Linked DNA regions of Rhinolophus ferrumequinum. The protein of the gene in region 1 interacts with the protein of each later gene in a biochemical or structural test. Links are inferred from orthologs where the notes say so. Each region holds a gene or a part of one and is shown in the gene's direction. Other genes may lie near its edges. The genes, in order: LIMK2 and ROCK1.

Evidence for each region.
Region 2: of the proteins of LIMK2 (region 1) and ROCK1, one has a biochemical effect on the other in vitro, tested with the Homo sapiens proteins (2 studies listed by BioGRID). The link is inferred for Rhinolophus ferrumequinum from reciprocal best matches to the Homo sapiens genes LIMK2 and ROCK1.

The regions. Positions count from the first base shown.
Region 1 is NC_046308.1:20,215,926-20,219,837, forward strand, and holds the start of LIMK2 (LIM domain kinase 2), read left to right. Parts: upstream 1-1,085; 5' UTR 1,086-1,238; coding exon 1,239-1,254; intron 1,255-3,912. UniProt on the Homo sapiens protein: Serine/threonine-protein kinase that plays an essential role in the regulation of actin filament dynamics. Acts downstream of several Rho family GTPase signal transduction pathways.
Region 2 is NC_046302.1:17,042,313-17,046,224, reverse strand, and holds the start of ROCK1 (rho-associated protein kinase 1), read left to right. Parts: upstream 1-866; 5' UTR 867-1,619; coding exon 1,620-1,712; intron 1,713-3,912. UniProt on the Homo sapiens protein: Protein kinase which is a key regulator of the actin cytoskeleton and cell polarity.

The DNA.
Region 1 (3,912 bases):
AGAGAATTGCACTCATATTTGCTTATTTCAGTGCTGGGACCAGAGGCAGCTGGGTTGACCTTTGTCCTTGGTGGAGGCGTCATGATCCATTTCCTTGGGCCCCATCCCTGTCCCTTCCTGGTCATTTGGACACTTTTCCCATGACCTAAATCTGATCTAAGGAAATGAGTTCCCAAAGATCCAGCATTAGAGAATCAGATGGGAGGGACCTCAGGGACCAGATGATGTGGTCAACCCTTCATCACATGGAGGACCCCAATTCCCTGCCAAGCCCATGGGGGGGAAATGGTTCTCAGGGCCCCTCAGCCAGCTAGCAGCTTCCAGAAACCAGTGTGCTGTCCTAACTCCTCATCCAGTGCTCCCTCTATAAAGAGGAGCCCACAGGGCAAATCCAGTCCACAAGTGTGTTTCCTTTGGCCTACATGGCATTGTTAGACTTTTTACATGTTCCCAACATTTTTAAAAGTGGGAAATTTCACCTAATATCTAATTTGGGGCTTGTTTTCAAAAACCGGAAGATCTGATGTGCTGAGTTCATTTATATACCTACTTGGCCTAGCTAAGGAACTGCCATGGAATGGTGGCTGCACCACCTCCATGCCATCTTTGACTTAGAGATTACCTACTGAGTGTCATCTTAATGGCGCAGAGAAGTTGCATCTCTGAACTGGAAGCTTCTAAGAAAAGTCCACCCTCAACCCCCACCCATCCCCCCCAAAGCTATTTTGTGGGGTAGACCTTGTTTTTCCATATTCATATTCTTGATTCCAAACATTCAACTTCAAAGAGCTTTAGACTGGGAGTCAGGAGACCTTTCCATCCCAGCTCAGCTCCTAATGAGCTTTGCTATTTTGAGAAAATCGAACTTGTCCTCTCTGGCCCTCAGCTGTCCCCATCTGTAAAATGGGTCCTCTGTGCTGAGGCCTCCGGCCTGCGCAGAATCATCCTTACCAGGTCTGGCACCCACGGATGCAGAGCTCGCACTAGGGGGCGCCAGGGCCACCGCAAAGCCCAAGCGAGGGGCGGGTCCGGGTCCCCGGGGCGGGCCGTCGGCAGGGTGGGGCGTCGGCGGGCGGGCCCTGGTGCCAGGTGCGGTTTGGTCCTACCCGGGTCCCGTAGGCGGCGCATCCCGCTGGTGCCCGGGGCTGAGGTTCTCCAGCGCCCGAGGCGACGGCGGGAGCTGAGAGAAACTGCTGCGGTCCCCGCCTTTTCTTCCCCATTTCCGCGCCCCCGGGACCATGGCTGCGCAAGCCGGTAAGGAGGGGCCGCGCTATCTTGTCCCGCCGTTACCTCGGAAGCCGGGGCCCTGAAGGGAGCCGGCGGCCTCGGGGGCGTTCGGGCTGAGTGAACCCCCATGGGTCCCGGGTCCTTGGGAGGAGAATTTGGGGAGTGAGCACCGCGGAGCCTCGGAGGTTGTGGGGCTCCGGAAATTGGGGAGCCGACGTTAGAGACTCCAAGGAGCATGCGGGGGGGGGGGGCAGCTTCCCGCGAGTTGAGGTCCCCGGGAGGAAGGGATGCTGGCTCTGCCGGGCGAGGGGGGGGCAGCTTTTTTTGTGGACCTGGCGGCGACCTGGCAGGTTCCCAAATTAAAACCCTTTCTAAGGAGCGCATTTGAGAGCTTGCTTCCCAGCATGTCATCAGCTCGTCTCAAACTCGCATAAAAATTCTCAAAAAAAAGAAAAAGAAAAACCTTTCCAAGGAAGTTGAGGGGTGTGGGTTCAGGTGAAGTTTGGGTGTTTTGGAGTATCGGGATTACGGGATCCTCAGCGTTCGAGATAATTGTGAGGGGATGGAGAGTTACCCCGGCTTCTGAATTTGCGGTGAAAAATGGAGGAGAGTATCACTTCCTGACAGGATCCAAGATGTCTCGCAGATATCTTGGTGCCTGCGGTCCCCTGGGTCTTGGGGCTCTTTGCAGGAAATAGGTGAATGTGGGCTCTTCTTGGGGAAGGTAGGCCCCTTGGGATTATGGGCCCTCCCATGGGAGCTGGGTCCTCCCTTGTCCTCTGTCAGACAGGAGAGGAATGTGACCAAACACCTCCTGGAAGAGTGTTCCAGGGGCGCAAGGGTAGCTTCGGGGTTAGCTTAGCTGGACCTGCGGTCCTCTCCCAGTCACCTCCCACACCACCCTGCAGCTTCCTGCCCTCCTCCGCTGTCTCCCAGCAACAAGGACTTTTTGTTGCCTGTGTTTCCCAGCCACCTGTGTGAGTGGCCCAGCCTCTAGGTGACCAGGGTCAGCGTCCAGAAGCTTTCTACAGGTGGCAGGAGGGAACAGTGGAGGAGGGAGGCTGTCCTGGATATGTGCCCCCACTTCCTGGCTTTCAGCCTTTAGACAGTCACTTCCTCCATCCTGAATACAAGGACCAGGCCACGAGTGGGTCACTTCCTCACCATGGGAGTGTGGGATTTTCTCCTTATTCTTGGAGGGCTAGGGGTAGAACTGTATCCTGTTCCTTCCTTTTATTTTTTTAGCTTCCAGAATTCTTCAGCTGAAATGATTTCTGATGACTTTCTAACCTCTGTGTAACGTAGGTTCCCTGTCTTGAATCTCGATCCTCAGAAACTTGTAAAAGATCTTAAGAGTGCAGGAGTGTGGATTAGGTTTTCTCTGAGTGAACCAAAGCCTGGCTAGAGGCATCAAGCCTCTAGGTGCATTAGTTGATGCATTCTTCCATATGAATATTTGTTGGATACTTCTGCGCCATGTATTTAGCCAAGCACTGAGGAATATAGTGATGAACAAAACAGACAGTGCCATTTGCCTTTGTGGTGCTTATAGTCCTAGAGATGGACGGTAGGTAATTGAGGTAACAAATGAGATAAATGCTGTAATAATTAAACAATTGAAGTAAGTGTTATAAGAGTGCCCTAGGGGTGAGGACAGTGAATAGGGAATACTTTCCTTTAAAAAGCATACTTTTTATGCTGACCCCTAAGGCTAAGTAGAAATTAGCCCAGCAAAGAAAGGGCAAAGAACATTCCAGGTTGAGGGGAGACCCTGAGGTAGGAAGCACGTAGTACCTTTGAAGAGCTGAGAGAAAGCCAGTATGGGGAGGAGGCTAAGGCTCAGAAATCACTTGTTCAAGTTTCCATAGCCAAATAAATGGCAGTGGTCAGAGTTCATATTTTCTAACTTCAAGTTCAGTGCTTCATCCTCTCTGTATCACAAACACCAGAATGAGGTTGCCTTTGGAATCAGAGAAGAAAGTGGGACTTAAACTTTTACTTGTTCTGACCAAACTGTTCCAAGACAACTCCGATTCCTGTGTAACAGGAGAATCAACAACAAAGAAATCAAATATTTACTGAGTGCCTGTGATCTCTAAGACATTGGGTTGAGACAGGTTTTACCTCTTTTAACAGATTCTAGAGCCAGGAGACACTTGAGGTAATGTAACTCTCCTCGTTTTACATAAGAAGAAACTGAGGCCCAGGGAGGAAAATGAATTTGTGCAGGATCCTTCAACTAGTGGTAGAGCCAGGATTAACCTAGGACTTCTCCAGCGCTCTTTCCTTTCTTTCCTAAGGTTTTTAAAAACTTTTTTGAATTAAAATTTATTGAGGTGACGGTGGTCAACAAAACTACATAGGTTTCAAGTGTACAATTCTATAATACGTCATCTATATATTGCATTATGTGTTCACCACCCAGAGTCAGTGCTTCCATCACCATAGACAGAGGGTGCCAAAAAAATGTATACATATTTTAAGAAAGTAAAGAACTGTTAAGATTGTAATACTCAATATACACCGATAACAAAAGATGAATACAGGTCACATTTGACTTCTGCAATTACAAGAGGTGCTCAAAGTAGTTACCATCAGCGTCCAGACACTTCTGATGACGGCGAACTGCTGCTTGACTTGTTGCTGTGCGAGGCCTCAGGATCTTCCCTTGTGCCCGTCACACAC
Region 2 (3,912 bases), on another chromosome or scaffold:
TGTTAATGGTGTAGAACTAGTATGAATAGCTTAAAAATAATGATTTTTTTCTATGAGATTTTCTTTTAAACTAAATTGAGCTTGGCTTCTATTGACTATATCTTCCGGAGTGATTATTTTAATGCTCCTCTGACACACACGATCGGTTTAGGAGGGCTGAGTACTGCATTGCTTTGTAATTTTCCCAGGAATCATAGACGTTGTGAGGTTCATGGAGGACCGACGACGAAGTACACCAAACCCCGTTGATGCTAAAATACTGGTGCTTGCAAGCAAAACAGCGTCCTGCCTAAAAAACAAAAACAAAAACAAAAAAAACCTGTCTCCAAAATAACAGCAAGCACCCTTTCTTTCTTGTCAGAATTCTCCAGACGGCTGCAGCCCAGAAGCAGCAGAGCTCGGGCAGCTGCTAGGACGCGAACAGAGGCAGCGAGAGCCCCCGCCCCCGCCCGGACCTCCACGGCAGCTCTGGAGCCCTGTGTGGTTCCTCCAAAGCCTGCCTGCCAAGGCAAGGGCTGTGCCGCCTGCCGCACCCTGTCGGCTCCTCCCCGCTGCCAGCCTTCCCAGTCGGTCTGCTAGGCCAAGGGCGCGCCCCGCCCTCCATCCCACTCCGCCCCGCTCCGCCCCGCCCTGCGGAGGCGCCGGCGTATGTGCGCGCGCGCGCGCGCGCGCGGGGCCAGTCCGGTTCCCCTTCCGAACGTCCGCGCCCCGCATGCGCAGTCCGTGCCGGCGGTCTCCGTTTGTTTGAACAGGAAGGCGGACATATTAGTCCCTCACGGCCCCCCTCGCCCCACCCCCCCAGGCATTCGCCGTCGCCACTCGCCCTTTCCGCAGCCGGGGCCGCAGCGCGTCCCAGAAGCTCCCCCATCAGCAGTCGCCGGGACCCGACTCGTCTTCCTCACTGCTCGCTCTCCAGCCTTTCCCTAAGTCTCCATCGGGCACCGACCTCGCCCTGCCCCGCCGGACACCGCGGCAGACGCCCCAGCAGCGACCGGACAAAATGGGAAAGTGAGACTATTCCGCGGGGACCAGGTCTTGGTCGGGACGAATCGGTGCGTCGGCCCGGGCCAAGCAGAGCCAGGGATGCGGGGATAGACCGCCTACAGCGCTTCAGAGCGGAGCGGGCCCGGCCCGTGGCCCTAGCGGCGGCTGCGGCAGCTGGCACAGCTCCGCACCCGCCCTTCGATTTCGCCTTTCCTCTTCTCCCTCCCCTGCTGCCCGGAGGAGTCTCCACCCTGCTTCTCTTTCTCTCCCCGCTCCTGCCCATCTCGGGATCGGGAATCCTCCATGGCGAAGGCGGCTGGGGCCCGCTAGGCTGAAGCACCTCTCCGGAGCGACGAGGCTGGTGGCAACGGCGCTGTCGGCTGTCGTGAGGGGCTGCCGGGTGGGATGCGACTTTGGGCGTACGAGCGGCTGTGGGTCGCAGTTGTCCCCGGCCCGGGGTTTGGAGAGCGGAGATCCCCTCAGTGAGGGGGAAGAGGGGGAACCGGGCGCACCTGGTGACCCTGAGGTTCCGGCTCCTCCGCCCCGTGGCCGCTAACCCACCGCGGGAGGAAGTTGGTTGAAATTGCTTTCCGCTGCTGGTGCTGGTACGAGGATATTGTCACTGTAGCGGCAACATGTCGACTGGGGACAGTTTTGAGACTCGGTTTGAAAAAATCGACAACCTGCTGCGGGATCCCAAATCGGAAGTGAATTCGGATTGTTTGCTAGTAAGTAGCGCAGTTCTCTTTTGCTTGTCTGTGCTTCTGTACGTATTTGCCTTCCTCTTGCTTTCAGTCTAGTCATCTGCAAAACAAAGTTTCAGGCGTGCATAATCTTGGACAACACCAAAATCTGTTGTTTTTCCCCGAAGAATCTTGGAGAACTACTGAAATCTCATGCCGTGGCCCTGTTTATAATTGGACTGACTGTACTAACCACTCTCGTTCATCATTACACAAAAGATACTTACAAACCTCTATTGCAGGCATCATATAAAAAGTTACCACGTCAGAGTTATTACTACATATATATAGTTTGTTGAATGGAGGTTTTAGTAATATTAATCTTTGTGATTGGTTTGACAGTATTATCGGAAAGACTACTTTTCATTTACAGCGATTTAGCTCCTAAGGGTTTAGTTTTTAGACTTGGAAGTGACAACAGAGAATCGATATTGAGGAAGTGATTTTTGAGCCAAAATGTCACAGGTGAACTGAGTTTGAAGGAACTTTTTGCTGGACTATAAAGTGTAAAATCCCAGGGAAACTGATAATAGGTCATCACAATATTAACGTCTTTTACAATACTGTTGGTTTACAAAAGTACTGCGCAGATATTTTATTTGCCTTTTTTGGTAGTGGTGTGCTTAACATTGTCACTTTTAAAACATTCTAAAGAAGATTTTGTGATATGAAAGGACAAAATTCTATTTTAAAAATTCATCAGTGATTTGCTAGCATAGACAGACTGGAGTTTTTAAGTTTTATCAGTTTCCTCCAATACCAATAGTTGCAAACTGTAAGCGAGTTTCTCCTTTTACTTTACAGATCAACTGAAAGTTATATAAGAATTCTATTTTAGTCCAGACAAAAACCACATAATCTCTAAAGTTGCAGGGAAAATGTGTATGGATAGTAATTTACAGCCTCCTCAGAATTAATGTTAGATGTACACAATATTTGGAATTAAGATTAAGTGAAGAAAGTACTGTTATGCCATTCAGAGAAATTAATGCCATTTAAAATCTCTTGAATCAGGAAAATCATGTAGTTTAAAATTAACATGCATTTTATTTTAGTCTGCATACCGCTATATATTTTAAATGTGTATGGTTTTACAAGAAAATTTTTCCCCCCAAAGCTTTCAAAATTACTGTAAACATCCTTGACTATGAAATGAGTCTGGTGAATCGTATGTTTGAAATGTGTACCCCACATTGTGGGTGCTCTTCAGATTGAAAAACAGAAAAGAGGGTTGATGCTTAATACAATTTAAAACATTTTATTGAATGAGAGAAGTGGAAGGAGTTAGAACACATCTTTCTAGTAAGGTTTTCTATAACTTCTAAGAAGTTTAATTCTTCTTTTAGTATTTATCTAATTCCCATATAGTATCTTTGATTTTACTTTGCCTTTTGATCTCCTTATTCCATGAAGCAGCATTACAGGAAGGGTATAGTCTTTTTTTTAAAAGCTGTCTCCTAGCCTCTTGCCATAGCTTCATGTGGTGGGAACCTCACAGATTTATTGAAGTGTGAAGGATCCAAGGAAATGTAAGTCATGGACTCTTTCCTTGAAAGTCTAATCTATTTAGGAAGACAAGTCCTAATCTCACATGTACATACACAGAAACGAGGCAAAACACTTTACAGATTGAGAAAATATGTGATAAATTTCAAATAGTTGTTATGGATAAATATGTTTTTGGATATTGAAAAGCAATCACTGAGTTGAGCCAGGGTATGCTTTATGATGGATAGGATTTAGAGAGAGATTATTTAGAGGGAGAGTGGAGGATAGCATGAATACGTAGAGGGTGGAGACATGACTGGCTATGACATGTTTAGGGGAACAGAAGGTAAAGCTGGAAGGATAAATTGGGGTTAGAGTGTGGAGGATTTAATAGTTAGGCTAATGAATTTAGATTTTCTTCAGTGTGTTGTGTCTATAAAATATTTGTAAACAAGACTGTGCCAGGATGAATGAGAAGATGAATCTGGTGGCTATGTGAAGGTTGGGTTATGTGGAAAGAGAGGAGAGATGAGGTGAGATTGGGGAGTTTTAAAAAAATTAATAGTCCAGAAATGATTGAAGCCCAAAATTGGGGTATAGAATGGGGGAGGAGGAATTGATGGAACCTGATTGGCAGGGTTGGGGAGGAAAAGGGGGAACCAAAGAGAGAGACTTAGATGATTCTAAAAATTGAGAG